Oryzias latipes: one gene and its partners. The protein of the gene in region 2 interacts with the protein of the main gene of each other region in a pairwise test. Links are inferred from orthologs where the notes say so. Each region holds a gene or a part of one and is shown on either strand. Other genes may lie near its edges.

What was found.
Region 1: the proteins of serine/threonine-protein kinase 4 (region 2) and sav1 interact in binary tests that used the Homo sapiens proteins (3 or more experiments, as listed by UniProt). The link is inferred for Oryzias latipes from reciprocal best matches to the Homo sapiens genes STK4 and SAV1.
Region 3: the proteins of serine/threonine-protein kinase 4 (region 2) and rassf5 interact in binary tests that used the Homo sapiens proteins (3 or more experiments, as listed by UniProt). The link is inferred for Oryzias latipes from reciprocal best matches to the Homo sapiens genes STK4 and RASSF5.

The regions. Positions count from the first base shown.
Region 1 is NC_019880.2:1,308,010-1,313,520, forward strand, and holds part of sav1 (protein salvador homolog 1), read left to right. Parts: intron 1-106; coding exon 107-583; intron 584-2,581; coding exon 2,582-2,852; intron 2,853-4,104; coding exon 4,105-4,260; intron 4,261-4,397; coding exon 4,398-4,599; 3' UTR 4,600-5,511. UniProt on the Homo sapiens protein: Regulator of STK3/MST2 and STK4/MST1 in the Hippo signaling pathway which plays a pivotal role in organ size control and tumor suppression by restricting proliferation and promoting apoptosis.
Region 2 is NC_019863.2:32,922,524-32,928,843, forward strand, and holds part of serine/threonine-protein kinase 4, read left to right. Parts: intron 1-1,451; coding exon 1,452-1,532; intron 1,533-2,579; coding exon 2,580-2,708; intron 2,709-3,746; coding exon 3,747-3,861; intron 3,862-5,716; coding exon 5,717-5,881; intron 5,882-6,042; coding exon 6,043-6,210; intron 6,211-6,320. UniProt on the Homo sapiens protein: Stress-activated, pro-apoptotic kinase which, following caspase-cleavage, enters the nucleus and induces chromatin condensation followed by internucleosomal DNA fragmentation.
Region 3 is NC_019863.2:28,024,938-28,031,257, reverse strand, and holds part of rassf5 (ras association domain-containing protein 5), read left to right. Parts: intron 1-3,834; coding exon 3,835-3,956; intron 3,957-6,320. UniProt on the Homo sapiens protein: Potential tumor suppressor. Seems to be involved in lymphocyte adhesion by linking RAP1A activation upon T-cell receptor or chemokine stimulation to integrin activation.

The sequences.
Region 1 (5,511 bases), on a different chromosome or scaffold from region 2:
GTCATTTCGACAATTGTTCGCCAGAAAGGAGGAAACGGACGGTTGTCAGGGTTTCATCTTTGGTGGGAACAGGTTCCTTTGATGCTGAAGTCGTGTTTCTCTGCAGACCTTATGCCCTCGTTCGTTCGCCATGGACCCACCATCCCCAGACGAACCGACGGCCCCCCGCCGGAGTTGGGGTCCTCCACCTACCCCGTTGCATCCAGCCGGGAGTCCGTGGCGTCCCAGAGCAAGAGCGTCCTGCGCCCGCCCGTGCAGAGGCCGCCGCAGGAGGTGGCACGCCGGGAGAGCCACCGCATGTCGGCGCCCCCCTACCTGCCTCGCAGCCTGGGCGACCTTCCCCATGATTACCGGGGCTCCACGCAGTCCTTCCTCACGGACGTGAGCCACGTGTCGGAGAACGGAGACGCGGCCCGCTTTTATTACCCCCCCGAGGCGTATTACGACAGCCCGCAGCAGCAGCGACCCCGAAGGGCGGCAGAGCGCTTTCCCGACGACTACAGATACTTTGAACCCGGCGAACACAACTTCATGAGACATCCCCGCCAGCACACGCCCCCAGCCCCGAGCCGCCCCCCCTCAGGTAAACGGTGTTGGGATAGATTGAAAAGTGTTGTAGAATCAAGATGTGAAGATAAGAATGAAGAGCTGATGGTTTCTACTGCAGGTTTTACCTGAAAAGATGAGATCATCTTTTAAAAACATCTTTGAGTCAACGATCATAGATCTGACATAGATCCTCTGATGGATGATCCACAAATCCATGATCCACAGATCTACGATCCACATATCTATGTTCTACAGATCTATGATCCACAAATCTATGTTCTACAGATCTATGATTTACCGATCTATAATCCACCGATCTATGATTACACATCTATGGTCAATGATTGAAGGGGGTTTTTATTGTCATTGCCGGTGAACAGACAGACATTACAGACTAGACTGCGGCGCCACATAAAACGCTGAGAAACAAAAATGAACAACAGTAAGCAAAATAAAAAATAACAAAAAAAATAGATCAACGGATCTTTGATTTTTTGTCGAGGAAGACCTGCTGATCTATAATTTACAGATCTGCGATCCACTGATTCTATAATGTGTGTACCACAGATCTATAATCCCTTGATCTATGTTCCATTGATGTCTGATCTATAGATCTATTCTCTTTGGAAGACCCGCTGATCCACTGATCTACATTCTGTGGGTCTATGATCCACTGATCTACATTATTCGGGTCTATGATCCACTGATCTACATTCTGTGGCTCTATGATCCACTGATCTAGATTCTATGTGTCTATGATCCACTGATCTACATTCTGTGGGTCTATGATCCACTGATCTAGATTCTGTGGGTCTATGATCCACTGATCTACATTCTGTGGGTCTATGATCCACTGATCTAGATTCTGCGGGTCTATGCTCCACTGATCTAGATTCTGCGGGTCTATGATCCACTGATCTAGATTCTGCGGGTCTATGATCCACTGTTCTAGATTCTGTGGGTCTATGATCCACTGATCTACATTCTGTGGGTCTATGATCCACTGATCTAGATTCTGTGGGTCTATGATCCACTGATCTACATTCTGTGGGTCTATGATCCACTGATCTACATTCTGTGGGTCTATGATCCACTGATCTAGATTCTGTGGGTCTATGATCCACTGATCTACATTCTGTGGGTCTATGATCCACTGATCTAGATTCTGTGGGTCTATGATCCACTGATCTAGATTCTGTGGGTCTATGATCCACTGATCTAGATTCTGCGGGTCTATGATCCACTGATCTAGATTCTGCGGGTCTATGATCCACTGATCTAGATTCTGCGGGTCTATGATCCACTGATCTAGATTCTGCGGGTCTATGATCCTCAGCTGAATCGTCATAGATCTGTAGGTCATAGATCTGCAGTAGGTCTCAAGCGGAAAACCTGGTGTTTATTCAAAGCTTTCTGGACCGTTTGCTTCCCCCTCGTGTTGCTCCCCCTCACCGGAGGTTAAAGGTCACCACACGGAGCACATGCTGATGTTTGACCCGTGGTTAAAGCGGTTCCTGGTGGTTCCTTCACCACATCAAACTCAGACTCTCATCTTTTTTCCCGTCTGGACGTCTTCATTCGTCGTAGAACTTTAGTCTGCGTTTGGGAAACCCGTTTCCATGTCGGTGACTCTTAAACATTTGCTCCTTCGGGCGTCTTCTCGTATCAAATTCCTGCGGGGCGTCTGGATCTTTCTGTGGAAAAGGTCAGGAATGACGATGAGGAGGTGAAGGAGGAGACCGCATTCCTTCTGCCGCAGAATGTGTCTAACTCCAGCCGGCGTTTAGGCGGGAAGCCCCTCCCCTCGCTCGCCTGCAGCTGTCGGACCCGCATTCCTCGCCGACCTTCACCGGGAGCGCTCCAGGAAGTGTTGACGGAGCTCTCCCTGGTGGAGCAGAGAGCTTCCTGTCCTCGGCGCTCCCGCTTCCTTCCGTTCGTCCCGCAGACCCGCCGCCTCTTTCCCACACAGAGAAAACATTCCGGTTTTCCCCGGAGTCTCCCGGTTTTCCCGATGTTTCTCTGTTTCCTTCAGGCATCAGCCAGATCCAGGCCAAGTCTCTGGGGAACCTGTCCAGCCTGGCGGGGGAGGACCTCCCCCTCCCAGCCGGTTGGACGGTGGACTGGACCATCCGCGGCAGGAAGTACTTCATCGACCACAACACCAACACCACCCACTGGAGCCACCCCCTGGAGAGGGAGGGGCTCCCCCCGGGCTGGGAGAAGGTGGAGTCCGCCGAGTTCGGGGTCTACTATGTGGACCACGTCAACAAGAGGGCGCAGTACCGACACCCGTGTGCCCCCAGGTCTGCTAACGCCCCGGTTTCAGGGCTTATTTCAACATTTAAACACCACAAGTATAAATGTTTACATTAATATCAAAACATTAAAAGTGAAACAATTACATTTTATTAGTGTAGCCTAAATTCACAACAACAGTGAATTATGTATATATAAATATATAGACCCCCCCATAACCATGGATGATGGCGTAGCTTTAAGGCGTAAACAGACATTTTTTCCTCCTAAAAAGCCTCATTTGATGCTCAGAAAACCTTCAGGTTGAAAATCAGCTCCGATCCGAACGCCGTCATTCTGCAGTTCAGCCTTTTCAGCTCATTCAACTTTTAGTAAAAAGCTTTTTAACGAAAAATGTTTTTAACATTTTTGTTGGTTTCGTAAAAGAGATTCCAGCCTTTTTGTGTTTGGCATATTTATCTGTGCTGCACATCTTTTTTCATCTAATTTCAGACGATATTGAGCTTCAACTTTTCTGAGAAATCTGAGATTTCTGTAAATCCATCTTTATGTTGGTATTTAGCTGATTGAACTTTTTCATTAATAACAGTTTTTTTAAACTATTATCCCATTTGTTATTTAGTTACTAATTATATTTATCCTTTGAAGATCTTTATAACTCTTACTCATTCAGCCATTTTAAGTGTTTTTCTCTTAATAATTTAGTATTATTTGTATTCATTATGCTGCTGTTTTACCATTTTATTGTGAAACCTGACTGGTTTTAGCTACGTTAGCGTTTTGTTCATGTTAGCGTATTTTTTGTGTTAGCATGTTGTCTATGTTAGCTTGTTATCTATGTTAGCGTGTTGTTCATGTTAGCGTGTTTACTATGTTAGCGTGTCCTTCATGTTAGCGTGTTGTCTATGTTAGCGTGTCGTTCATGTTAGCATGTTGTTCATATTAGCATGTTATCTATGTTACCGTGTTGTTCATGTTAGCATGTTGTCTATGTTAGCTTGTTATCCATGTTAGCGTGTTGTTCATGTTAGCGTGTTGTCTATGTTAGCGTGTCGTTCATGTTAGCATGTTGTTCATATTAGCATGTTATCTATGTTAGCGTGTTGTGTTAACATGTTGTCTATGTTAGCCTCTTGTCTATGTTAGCTTGTTATCTATGCTAGCGTATTGTTCATGTTGTTAGCATGTTGTTCGTGTTAGCATGTTGCTCAGCGTTGTGTAGCGTCTGTAGTTTGAACCCGTAAGACTGATATTCTTATAGAAACTGGTTTGTTCTGTTCTCATGAATCCATGGTCCAGCGTGCCGCGCTACGACCAGCCGCCACCCCTGCCCCCGCCTGTCACCTACCAGCCCCGCCCGGCAGAGAGGAACCAGCCGGTCCTGGTACCGGCCAACCCGTACCACACGGCCGAGATCCCAGACTGGCTGCAGGTGTACGCCCGCGCCCCGCTCAAGTGAGTCGGACCAGAACTGGTTTCTGAGAAACCTCCATCCAGAGAGTTGTTGGTTTGTCTGTTTGAACTGGAGAGAGGTTCGATTCCCGCCCTCTGCAGGCTGTTGAAGACCTTTCTGAGACCCGTCTGCTCCTCAGGTACGACCACATCCTGAAGTGGGAGCTGTTCCAGCTGGCCGACCTGGACACGTATCAGGGAATGCTGAAGCTGCTCTTCATGAAGGAGCTGGAGCACATCGTCAAGTCCTACGAGGCGTACCGCCGGGCGCTGCTGTCCGAGGCGGACGCCCGCTCACAGCGACAGCAGTGGTACAGCAAGAACTTTGTGGCCAACATGTGACGACCTCAGAGTTCATTTTAGAAAACCCATCTGTGCCTTCGCTTGATCCAAAGCATGGACGGGAAGAGGGGCGGCCCCACACGCCTCAAACAGAGGAGCTCTTTGCTGGGCAACAGTCAGAGAGCTGCAGCTTTAAAGTGTGGGTTCTGCTCCGACCCAAACCCCAACGTTTCGCCGTTCCTGCACGCCTCACCCGACAATCCTCCGAAGCTCGGCTGCCATTGATGGACGCCGCTCTGCGTTGGCGCTCGCTCGAAAAACCCGTTTTCCTGAACCATAAGCTACTAGAACGTTTGAATCTCACCAAATATGTGCAATTCAGCATTTTTTTTCTGGATTTTTAATGAATTTTTGTGGACTGGTCCAAATGAAAACCTCCGCTGCTCTGTCGGAGTCAGGACTCGAACACGCCTGAAACCCTGTACCTGTGCGGGAGCGTCCAGCCTGCTCCTATGAATAACCTTCAGAAGCGGTAACGTCTGCGGTGACGGAGGGATAAACGTTTACTTCATCAGCAAAACAAACATTTCTGCGTTTGTACATATTTGTCACATTTAGATGTTTCAAAATAAAACTCAAAGTTTAAAAAAACGAAAAACAAACCCAAAGACGTCCAAACCTGTAAAAAAGTCTTTTTCCTTCAGATCTAAAGACGGAGACTTTTCATCAGAACCGTGGTCACGATGGCGAGTGATGCGCATGAATGAGTGGACGGACGCGGCGGTTCTGCTGGGTTTTTGGTCCGATGGCGGTTTCTCTGAGAGCGTTCATGTGATGAGTGGAGAAGATGAGGCGGTGGGACGTTTCTGCGGCGTCCGGCCCGTCTTCCTGCAGCTCACCGATGATCCGAGGGATCCGGAGCGGCGGCGGCGGCATTCCTCCGCCCCGCCGGTCCGGGCGTAAAGCTGCAGC
Region 2 (6,320 bases):
TTATCCTAACTCACTGTAGTTCAATTCAATTCAATTTATTTGCATAGCTCAAAATCACCACAACAGTCGTCTCGATGGGCTTCATTTGAGGCTTTAGTTGATTCCTGAGCGCATTACTGGCTTTTTTTAAACGAAGAAAAATGAAGATCCATTCTATCGTAAAAGCAGCTCTCTTTGTTTGCAATAGAATACAGCGCTGTGGACTGATTATGGGATGTGCTACGTTTCAGGACCACATCTCGGCTGTAGTTCACAACGTCATACTAACTTTGTTGCATCATTTACACAGTTTCCCCTCTGCTAAACACAAAGAATAACTTCAAACCATCACATTCACAGTTTAAGAAGTGGTCTAAAAGTATTTTTTCAACACTTGTAGCTTCTCTTATTTTGTTGGTATTTCACTTTTATAACTGTAAGTGATATTATTCAACACAAGTGCACCTTTGAAATGAGGATTTAATGGAAAAAAACAAACCTTGTGAATACTGGATCATCGTGAATCAGGTGATGTTGACCACATTTTTGGAGAGTTTGTATTTTCACTGGTCTAGTTTGTCTCTTCGGAACAGATCTCAGGTCAGATTTTTACTCTAAAGTCAAAGTTCATCATTTATTAGAGACCTGAAAACTAACTTCATGGGAGATTCAAGAAAAAAGACAGCAGCGCTGCCCTCATGTAACATTTAATTCTTCTGTTTGGTGAAGTGATGTTTTTCAGAGAAAATGTTGAGAAACCGAAGCAGCACTCGGGTTCCACTTTTACATCCAGCTAGCCTAAAAGCACTCGTTAGCCTCAGACACACCTGACGGGGGGGCGGTTACCTGTGCAGAGCTCTGGCAGCACCTGCACCTTCTCAGGTCACAGAGCTGCAGCCGGACTATGACGTCTGGAGATTTTGACCGCTGCCTTCCTGCAGTTCTCCAAAAAGCAGATCGATGTATTTATGTCTGAAGATATTTTGTCTCCAGACTTCAAATTTGAAAAGAGCTTTTGGAGTTCTTCACAGAAGAAGTGGCTCAGATGGGGCTTTCAGAGGCTTTTTCTCACGAAGATCAACAAAAATGATTTATTCCAACATAAAACAGTTTTTCTGACATTTTAATCTTTATTAAACTTAAAACTTTTGATAGTAAAAGTAAAAAAAATACAAGGAATGAATAAAACTCAGCAGAAAAACACATTTAGATCTTAGAACTATTTAAATATAACAATAAGCTTCAATGTTTTAAAAGTAACTCACTTTTTGACAAGTAATCTACGTTTTAGAAGATTTGTTCTTAGTTTCTGTCTGAAGGTCTTGGTTACAGATTTTCTGTTATTAAAGCAAAGCTTCAGCAGAAGCCTTGAACTCTTGAGGAAGCGAGAGCCTTCTTCTGCAGCGGTGGCACGTCGGCTCCGTTGCTGGACTCCGGCACGCGTCTTTACCAACATCCTGGTGTTCTTGCAGGCAGCTGAAGAAGCTGAGCGAGGACAGCCTGACCAAACAGCCGGAGGAAGTGTTCGATGTCCTGGAGAAGCTGGGAGAAGGGTGAGTCCTTCAGTCAAAGCCAGAGTGATGCTCACGACCAAAGCCGTCTTTTGAATGTGTGTTTTTCATTTCATACATTTCAACTTTAATCTCATTATGCAAGCGTCTGTCTGTGTTTCTGCCCATTCATTCATCACCCCCCCCATGCATCTTCATTTCCTGTTTCTCAACGCTCTTCCTGTTCTGAGTGGCTGATTGACAGCGTGTGTGTCGTCAGCTGCTGCAGAGACTCCATATTCATCCTTTTTCCATGGAAGCTAATTTTCAGCAGACTGTAGATCAGTTTTCTGTATTTCCTGTCGTTGGTGAAGGAGGCAGAACGGTCCTACAGGGGCTTCTGATGTTATGAGCTGACCACACAAAACCAGCTGGGTGTGAACCACACCAACGCTCTCAGACTCACATTTATTTAAAGATATTCTCCTGCTTCATGGCATCCATGTTGACATTGATTTCTGAGCGAAATAAACAAAATCCTGTTTCCAGAATAGTTCCTGACTTTGGTGTCTTGCAGAAAGTCTTTCTTTGTCTAATAGATCCTCCCAGACGTTTGGGATCAATTCAACGTTCTTCAACTTCCGTAGTAACCAATTCAATTCAATTTTATTTCTATAGCGCAAATTCACAACAACAGACGTCTCAATGGGCTTCGTGCCGGTAATCGTAAGTTAAACATTCAATCAAAAAGGATCATGAATACATAGAGTTCAATAGAAAATTACTTAAATGAACTAACAAACTGACTAAACTAAACTGGACATCCCTGCCCTTGGTCGTTTTTACCTTAGAGTCACATAAACCAACTGTACCTTAATCTAAATGGTATTTTCTAATGTCGATTTATAATCAATTTCATTTATTTTGAAAGGATTCTTTTAATTGTATTGGTCGATTCAATTTCCTCAGGCAGATGAACTCGATTGGATTGTAGGAATATTAATGGATTAAGTTGATGAATCGTTGCACCCTCAATGGAGACGTAGTCAGAAATCCATCTGAGTGAAAACGTGACGCCGTCAGAGTTTGACTGAACTTCTGTCCCTGCAGGTCGTACGGTTGTGTGTTTAAGGCCAACTATAAAGAAACCGGAGAGATTGTTGCCATCAAGCAGGTTCCTGTAGAGTCTGATCTCCAAGAGATCATCAAGGAGATCTCCATCATGCAGCAGTGCAACAGGTTTGTGTTCTGTGGCCAGAAGAAGCCACATCTGCTTTTCTGAGGCAGCCTGAGCAAAAACACATTTTTTTACAATGTCTCCATATAGCAGCACAGTCTGCACTGCAGAAACCCAACAGTAGACGCACAAACACCAGACACACCAAATCTGTGTTTCTAACACTGAAGCCTTTCTGGACGTTTGAGTCCACATTTGAAAGTGTTCAGAGAGACAGACCACAGACAGATGACGGATTCTGTTTGTGACATAGAGAAGAATTAACTTATCTAAATCTACAACTACATATATAAAGTCCAGCAGACGAGCTTCATTCAGTTGAAGTTGGGGGGACAGTCAGGGGCGCGAGTCGAGCCAGAGACAGGAACCACAGCCAGGTGTAGGAGCAGGAGCAAGAGACGAGGTACTCGGTCAGGAACAGGAGCATGGATGAACCAACTGGAGTCTGGAAGCACTCCCACTCCCCAGGAGGGGAAAGAGGGACAATACATGAATCACTGCACCAAACAGAGGCATGGAGAACTAAATGATGAATAATGATCAAGAATACCAGGTGTTATGATTCAGTTTAACAGCAGTTTGATTCACATCTTAATTTGTGGCTGATGATCTGATCCCTAGTAGATATTTGTTCATTTAGAAAGATCCAATTCAATCCAACTCTCTGTCCTAAAGTGAATCCAGATCCTCTTCATCCAAACTTCCAGCAGTGAGACTCAGACAGAAATTCCTGCTACTGAACAGTTTTCCAGATTCTTGGATTTCTTCCAGATCATCAAGTTAATGAAATCTGTGTCCAAACCAACAAGTAAACTAGAATGAATGTCAAATCCATTCACATGTTAGTTTCCTAAAGTTCACCACTGTTGTTTTTCCACATCCAGAGAATCCAAAGACAGGAAGTCATTTATGACCCACACGGAACACGTAAAATAAAGATTTGACTCAATGACTGATTAGAAAGGCCTAACATGATTTCCGCACAGAGTAACGTGTAACGGTAACACATGACTTTAGTGAACAGAAAGCTGTGTTTTCAGCCCTCATGTAGTGCGATACTACGGCAGCTACTTTAAGAACAGCGACCTGTGGATCGTCATGGAATACTGCGGAGCCGGGTCCGTCTCCGATATCATCCGGATACGCAACAAGACGGTAACGCAATACACACTGAGGCACACACTGTTCAAACATGGACACACCCATCCGTTTGACCCCCCCCCCCCCCCCCAGGCTTCAATGGGACTTTGGTTTTTCTGCTCAAGCAAAGTTGAAGCATCTATTAAATGAAAATCCTCAAATCTCTTGATCTTGTCACGAACAGGACATCGCTATGGAAACAACCATAACTAAATCTGCTCCAGGATTCTCATATCGACTCAGAGAATATTGAATCTAGTCTGTGTTTTTGGTTTGTTTATGAAAACTGAACCACGATCTTCTGAACATCCTTCTTTTACCGTCCAATAAGGCATGACAGGAGTAAAGGTGATGGGTCACTTTCAAACTTATACCCTATACGTTCTCACTACCTGGTGCCTTGCAGGTCTGTAGTTTTCCAATGGCATATCTCATTTCTACTTTCTTAATTTCTTATTGTAATTCCTTGTTTTGCACTTCTCCTATTTATGGTAGATCAAGTGAAGAAAGCTGTTGTCTACACTTGCTAGAATATAAATCTTTGTAGAAAATAATTAATACTTCCTCTTGATCTTCTGTTAATGTGTCTGTTTTAGGATTTCTGATGCTGCTTATTGAGTCATTAGGTTGTTTTCTTAGTCGTCTTGCTAATGATTTCATTAGAATATCATTTATTTCTGTTTGAATTTGTTGTTGGATAGTTTGGGAGGGACTTTGCTTGTGCTGCTTTTCTAAATCATTTCTGATTGCCACTTCCTGGTTGTACTTATCCTTTTTTTTCTTATTTTGTGCAGATGCAATAGCAATTATATTTCCTCTCAAACCTGCTTTTAGCTCTGCTTTTTGGGGTTAACTTCTCATTTCTGGTTTCCTTTAATGAATCTTTTAATTGTGGTTTTCATTTGTTCCTTCACAGTTTCCGTAGTTACCAGTCCTAACGTCAACCCCCACAAAGTATTAAGTATTAAGTATTAATACTTAATAATACTTAAGTATTATTAAGTATTAAGTTAAGTATTTCTCTTTTTTCTGTCTATATGAACTGTTAAAAAGCAGGGCAATGGTCAGAGACAATAATTGTACTACCGGTAATTTAACAAGCTTTCATTCGTCTCCCGCTTATTTTGACTCCTTTCATGTCAGAGCATATAAAAGAGCAAAGGAAGTAACTGAGCTGAACACTAGGCCTGAGTTGATCAATTTGATTAATCGATCTGAATCGATCCAAGCTTAATAATAAATAATCGATCCATAAGAGTAGAGATCAATCTTTTATGCTTTTCTTTTTCCGTGATCCAACACATAACAGCAGCAAAAGTCAAAGTCTGTTAGCTTAAAGCTAACCTATAATGGAATTTCCCATAGGACGGCTAACGCTCGGTCGTCCTACATATACATGGCTGACTAAATGAACAGCTTGATAAACACGCAGGCGTTAACTGAGGAAACTGTTTTCTTTAAAGTAACCATTTGTGGTCTAAAGCACGGTTTTTGTAGGATTAAAGTGTAATGTTGTAGCGCTAGTGCCACCTAGGGGCCAAACTGAAACCCCCTCCAGGAGAGGCAGACCATAATGTTGGAGCTTCACCTTTGGAGAATTCATGTAACGCTGTATGATGTTTATCATTTCACCAATACATTTGGTGAAATGTATCAGGTTCATGTAAATATCTTCAAAACAAATATAGATTATTATATTTGTAGGCTAACCTGTCTAAATGTCTAAACTGTTTAAATTTAAAATGGAATCGAATGGAGTGGATTGAAAAAATCGTGAGTGGAATCGATTCAGGAAGTTATTGGTGATAGCAGCCCTGCCGAACACAAGGCTGTGTCCTTCATCCTCCTCATCGCTTCTTGTGCTGTGAAGCTTTCAGAAGAGGAGATCGCCACTGTGGTGCACTCCACCCTGAAAGGGCTGGAGTACCTCCACTTCATGAGGAAGATCCACAGAGACATCAAAGCGGGGAACATCCTGCTGAACGCCGAGGGCCAGGCCAAACTGGCCGACTTTGGAGTTGCTGGGCAGCTAACGGTGAGGAGCAGACCTCTTATGGAGTTCTCTTCATTCAACCTGGTAGAAACACTAATGAAGATGACTGAAAGCTGCAGACAGCACGGACAGGCAGGATCTGTCAAAGCTGAGGCCTGAAATCCTTCAGCCACGTAACTAAACACCAAAGCTCCTCTCCTCAGGACACCATGGCAAAGCGAAACACCGTGATCGGCACGCCGTTCTGGATGGCTCCAGAGGTCATACAGGAGATTGGTTACAACTGTGTGGCAGATATCTGGTCCCTGGGAATCACAGCTATAGAGATGGCGGAGGGCAAGCCGCCATATGCTGACATACACCCCATGAGGGTGAGTTCTTACTGAAAAGCTCTGTGACAGCAGACGGCGACTCTTCCAGTCCCAATGTACGGAAACACATTTTGATAGGATTTCTGTTCCTCCCTATGTGAGCTGTTCAC
Region 3 (6,320 bases), about 4.9 Mb from region 2:
TTACGCGCGCTCGATTATCTCTAGGCCCCGCCCCTCCACATATTTTAGCCACTTGCAGTGACTTTCCCTATTCTTCTCACACGCATTGGCCGCCTCAGGCATCACTCAATGAAACGCGAGTGTGTGCTCGCGTGTGCTCCAGTCTCATGAGTATTCGCGCGAGTGTGTGTGTCTGCCTGCGTGCGTGTGCGCTCGCGTCTCATTGATGATTTCATCTCTCATTTCATCGATCATTGACGTGCTCCTTTCATGTTTAATGTATAAAAAATACGGAGGGTGGAGGAAGCAAATTTACTGGTCGCACATGTGCGACTGGGTGTAAAATTCAGTCGCACACTCAAATTTTGGTCGCAACATGCGACCAAATGGACGCAGTCTGGAGCCCTGTGTATATATTAAAGCTTCTAAAACTAGGTTCAACTCACCGTTGATTGTGTGTACACTTTTCCCACAATGAAGCCGTTTGTGTCAGTTGTACGTACTGTGAGCATTAACTCGGCTATGCCCACATTTCTCCTCCGTGATCTCCTCTCACCCTGACAATAACATGAAAATCATGTCTCAAACACATAATTACAAATGCATCGCCAATACGGTACACATCAGTTTAAAATGTAATGTTCTTATGTACGTTGCCAATAAGTAGAATTTCTAGGTTAAAAAAATTGCAGGAGTGGGTTACATGTATCACTGGGGAAAAAAATGAGGTGAGAGAGACTGTTAAGGGGGGGGGTAAATGTTATTCATGAGGGGAAAGTTTTAGAGTTGCCTTTGTTTATGGAGAGGAGTCTAAAAAAAGTTATTTTATTTTTGTACAAATAACCAAGTACTTATACTGCCTGATATGTGAATAAAATATTTCTTTATGAATAACATGAATACCTCAGAGGAAAGCCATAAACGTTCACAGCGTCACTGAAGAAGGCCAAGTCTGCACAGTTGTTGTCTGCTATCTTCTCAGGTACAAGATCTATGGAATACAAGTACAAATAATTTCAACTGACAGATATTTACAGCGGCAAAAATGCTAAATTCCCAATTGACAGGTAAAACAGTAATACAATAGGATGATAAAATATGAAATAGAATAGAATAGAAGGGTATTTAATAATCCCTGAGGAATTTTTTTTTAAATGGCCATCTTAAAAAAACACATAAACACACATGCATTACAAATAGAAATATCACAAAATAAAAAGATTGATAAAAAAAGGTAAATAATTGGAAAATCAGTGGGTAAAATTAAAAGAAATTACTTGTAAGATGCCCTGCCAGAGAGTTGTATTGCCTGATGGCACGAGGAACAAAAGATTGTCACGCTGTCACGCTTCAGTAATTCCTAGAGAATAAATAAAAACACAACAAACATGGATTAGATCATTTAGCTGTCTGATCTTAAATTACATAATTTTCAAATATATGAAAGGGGAATTTTTTAAAACACTCTTGCTATGATAACTTGAGCTTGTAGTAAAGAACACCTTTAAAAAAAAATCAGAGACAAGACACTGATCACAGGAAGCCTGTGAGTAATACTTACAGTAACTTCTACTCTAATCACTGTTGACAGCTGATTTCTCCCATCCACCCTTTCTGTGACTACTTATTGACTACAAAACAGCCTAAAAACATAATGTTTGGGATTCTTGTCATTACGTCATTGGAAGTAAAGAGATACGGGGATTTTAGTGGCTGTCACTCTGACACAATCTCACAGGGCTGGTCATCACAATGAATACGGGTTCTAACGTTAGAAACTTAATGAGGCTTCTTTCATTCAACAGTGGATTCATGTCTGTTATATTTAAAAAATGCCGTTTTCATGATTGTCACATGAATTAACTTCTTTGCACAGTCGACCCCGTCTTAAAGTCTGGGTTGTGAAAATGCTGTGTCTAACTTTAACCCGGATCGCGTTTACATAAAGGCAGCACATGGAACAACTAGCTAGTTAGCATAGCATAGCATCAGTGTTTAAACAAATCGCCGTCTCCAAATCAATACTTTTTATTAAACTTTCTTTGCTGCTGTAAATCCGGCATGCTTTTCCCCTTAGTTCTATCTGAATCATGTTAAGAACCTACAGATCATTGGCTATAGACGCTAGCTTGAACCGACACCGGCTTGAACTTCACTCACTCTCACAGGCAGACACAACTTGCACAGGCTAAGCAAAACAAAGCTGAGCTAATTTGCGGTGGGGGTACTCTGCAAACGACTCGGCTGCAGTGTTCATAAAGCATTCACACATGTCACTTGGCAAAGGAGAACGCTTCAACTTAGTATTCAATAGCATTACAGGACGTACGACGAGGGAATGATCAAATAAATGCATTACTTACGGGCTGAGACTGATCCCGTTCAGAAGACCTCTCCGCCATGTTTGCCGCCCGCGTCCTTTCAACTGCTGTGCTGAACAGCTCCCTCCCTCGTCACTTTGAAAGTGAGGAGTGTAAGGGACCATTCGATTGGTTAAAAGCGAACCCGCCTGCTTTCCCGATGAGTTTGATTGACAGATTCACTAGCCAATGGTGACATTAGTTGACCCGCTCCGTCAGATGAGTCTCAATATTCACCGTAGAAAAATCTCTCACACACACGGGGAGATTCACAAACGAGAACGGGATTTTGAATGCACAGTCTGCAATTCGAATGATCTGTGAGTTCACATCACATGTGTACCTAAAAATCACGTTTGTGAAGCACCTACTGTGCATTTCTGATACATTTATTGTGAATTTCTAAAATGTTTTTGTGAAAAACAGTGTGCACATTTGTGAGAAACACTTATTGTGCATTTGTAAAACATTTAGTGTGCATGTGTGAAACACAATCTGTGTGTTTGTGAAACACAGGGTGTGTATTTCCGAATTTATTTTTCACGTTTGCATAAAATGACATTTGTGAATCGGAGCGTGTGCATTTGTAAAACCGGTTGTGTGCATTTCTGATTATTGAGACTGAATTAACTCCATAACTTGTTGCCATGGTGATAGTGCTGATGCTGAGTGTGAGACCAGCAATGTCCTCCTTCCTAAAAGATAAATCTTCAAACAGCCATGCTTATCACAACCAACAGCACACACATCAACCATGGGGGAGTCTTTTGTTTCTGTCGGAACGTTTAGAAAACTCTTTCTGTCTGCGGTCGGTCGGTCTGACTGACTCAGACTTTCTTACTCAGCTTTTAGATTTGTTTTTTTTTTTGGTTCAAATGGTTTCCCCCACTGAAGAGAAGTGAGATTAAAGGCCACGCTTTCTCGCTGCGACCACAACAGAGAGGAGGCAGACGCACTGACATGTAGAGAACCAGCTGAAAGTACAGAACAACAAAGGACCATTTTGGAACTTTTGAGGGAGGGAAGCAGTCTTTTGTGTATTTATGGGTTGGGTATTTTTTTTTAGTTCATAAACCAACAAAAGATAAACACAACTCAGCTCTCTGTAGGAGTATTCATTTCGGGGGGTTTTCTGCATCAGGTCATAAATCTGCATCATAGATAAATAGATAGATAGATAGTATTTTTTTTAAGTCAACCCAAATCACTACATTTAAAAAGATGTTAGGGTTTTGCCAACTCTTCTGCATGTGAGTCTGAATTTAGCCACTAGATGGAGCTATTTTCTTGCTTCAAATACTTTAAGCCTTTAGATCTTTGTCATTTCAAAACAAAACAAAAAAACTTTGACAGACACTGAATGATCATGGCCGGCTCCTTCAGGAATGCCATCTGCTGAAATATAAATCACTAAATTTCTCATAATTTGACTGTTATCTGAGTCATCCTTGTGCCTAATCTCACCTTTGACCTGATGTGTGTTTGTGTTCATCAGACTGCAGCTACACCTGCCACCTGGAGTGTGAGAGCCAGGTCCAGCTTGATTGCAACCAGAGAGACAGACAACCAGGAGAAACTCGGTCTCCCACAAACCTTTGCACCAGACCTCACCATAAGGTACGAACTTTCAGATTAAAAGCCTTTTTGAGAGCAGAGAGTGAGAGAGAGAGAGACGGTGGTGGAGAAGATGTGAAGATGACAAAGAATTAGGTCATGATTATTTTCAACCTGCATCCATCATCTGTCCTTCTAAAGATGTGACCATCATCGGTAATCATTTCTTCTGCTTAGCTTTGTATTTTTGCATCTTTTTATTTTCCTCTTGTGATTTTTTTTTTTTTTTTTTTTTTTTTTTTTTTTTACTCCTGGGGCTCAGCATCCTCCTCCCCCTCTCCTCCGTATATCCATTTATCACCCCCTCTCTTTTATTTTTCTTCTCTTTTTCACCTGTTTTTTATTTGTACTCGACGTTGAATCATAAAGTCCTCTCATGCCTGGGTTTTTAAAATAGACGGAAAACATTTATTATTCTGGTTCATTTTATTCTCTGCAATAAAGAATCCACACTTTCAATAAAACCCAAACTACTTTATCTCAGATTTTCATGAAAAACGGTGTGAGGTTTTGCTCATGTTGTTCCACTGTTGCATTGTGGGTCAGTACAGTGAAGATGCAGCCTCTCAGCACAGCAGCTCTCTTTGTGGAAAGCTCTCCTCCCACACACTGTGGTCCTGCACAACCCACTCAAGCCTGCAGCAGCGCGTTGGCAGATATTCCTCACCGCCGGCCAGATTAGACTGAATGAGAGGAGCTGGTAGTCGGCCATAAGTAGTACTACGCTTGCAGATAGTATGAATGCACTGACAGTCTGCTCTGCGACATGCTACTCATGACAAGTGAAGAGGGAGATGATGGAGGTTCATGTCTTTTATTGTTCTATTGTCTGTGCAAATATTTACATCCATACTTAAAACCATATACTGAGAAAAGAAGGTTAGCTTTTAAAAATACAGAAATTCATATCCGCTTCCATCCACAGTCACAGACATGCAGCCGGGTTACAAGCTAGCTGTTTATGGAGCCGTTTGTTGTCTTCAGTATTGACATATTGATGCAAATGAGCACAATCTACAAGCAAAAAGGCAATGATGAAACAACCGCATCCCAAACACATTTGTCATTATTTCCCTCCAAACAAATGACATAATCCATTACAATGCAGATGGAGAAAATGAGGGGAATTCAGCAAACACGGTTGACATGTGACATGAATGCAGCGCCAGTCTCAAATCATTTCCCGCAGCCTCGTCTCCCTCGTTTTATGCATGCTTTTTTCGTTTTATTGTTACTTTGTGTTTGCCTCAGCAAAAATTGATCCTCTTTGGTCCCTGCTGCAGCGGCACTCACAATCAGCACACTGACCAGGTTTTATTGACTTGAAGTCAGGAGAAAATATGTCTTCTGTGTGCATGTGTGTGTGGGTGTGTGTGTGTGTGGGTGGGTGTTGGGAGCATCCCACCCCCTGCTCACTCCCCGAGTGATTGCACTGACGGAGGTGAGAAGCATGCATTAACTCTGGCACTGAATCAAAGGTGAAATGCAGACGCAACCCGTAAAGTCTTGACTGCATTGGATCAAAAGTCGTGTAGCAGCAGCGGCGGCGGCAGCATCTGTTCGGACACACGGTTCATCAATCTTTTAGTTGATGTGGTATCAGCTGCTTTCTGACGAGGGGTGAGGGGGGGCAGTGTGTGCGGTCGGTATGAGGTTAGAGGTCACCTAATCTCTTTTTCTCATTTCAACCCTTTAGCATTTTCCTTATCTCCTCTTTAGGAGCACAAACCCACCACCTCCTCCTTTGCAAATAAGCAGAAACGTTTACTCCATCACACTCCCTAAAGCGTTTTTTCTATACAGTCTAGTCCTAATTGTGATTTAGCTCCACATAAAAGCTCCATTTAAAGTCAGACTCCAATCATTTTTTGATCTATTTTCAAATCTTTCCCAGTGGTCTTTTTATTCAGGTTACGTTGTTTTCTGCCAAAACAAAACAAAAAACTGTGTTGTTTTCCAGGACATAGTTTCTGCAGAGCGGCAGGAGTTCAGTAGAAATTCACCTCTAAGGTGTGGGTGGAACTGTTGGCGAGGCGTAAGGCTACCCTCATTTCCCATCATCCCTCTGTTTACACGTTATCCTGCTAGCTTACAGTCCCTCACACCCAATATTACCGGTGCAAAAAAAAATGGCGAGCAATATTGGAGCTATCCAGCTAGGGATAATATAAGGAAAACTCGCGATTTGCGATGTTAATAATCAACATTGGGATGACGATATAACTGGCGATATATGAATAAATATATATTATCCTTTTCACTGCTACAGTTTAGTTTAAATAAGAGTCAACATAACTTAAATTATACTCTGAATGACCCTCTGCATAGGAGGCGAGCATCTAACAAAGGGGCTCCATCCGATTGGTC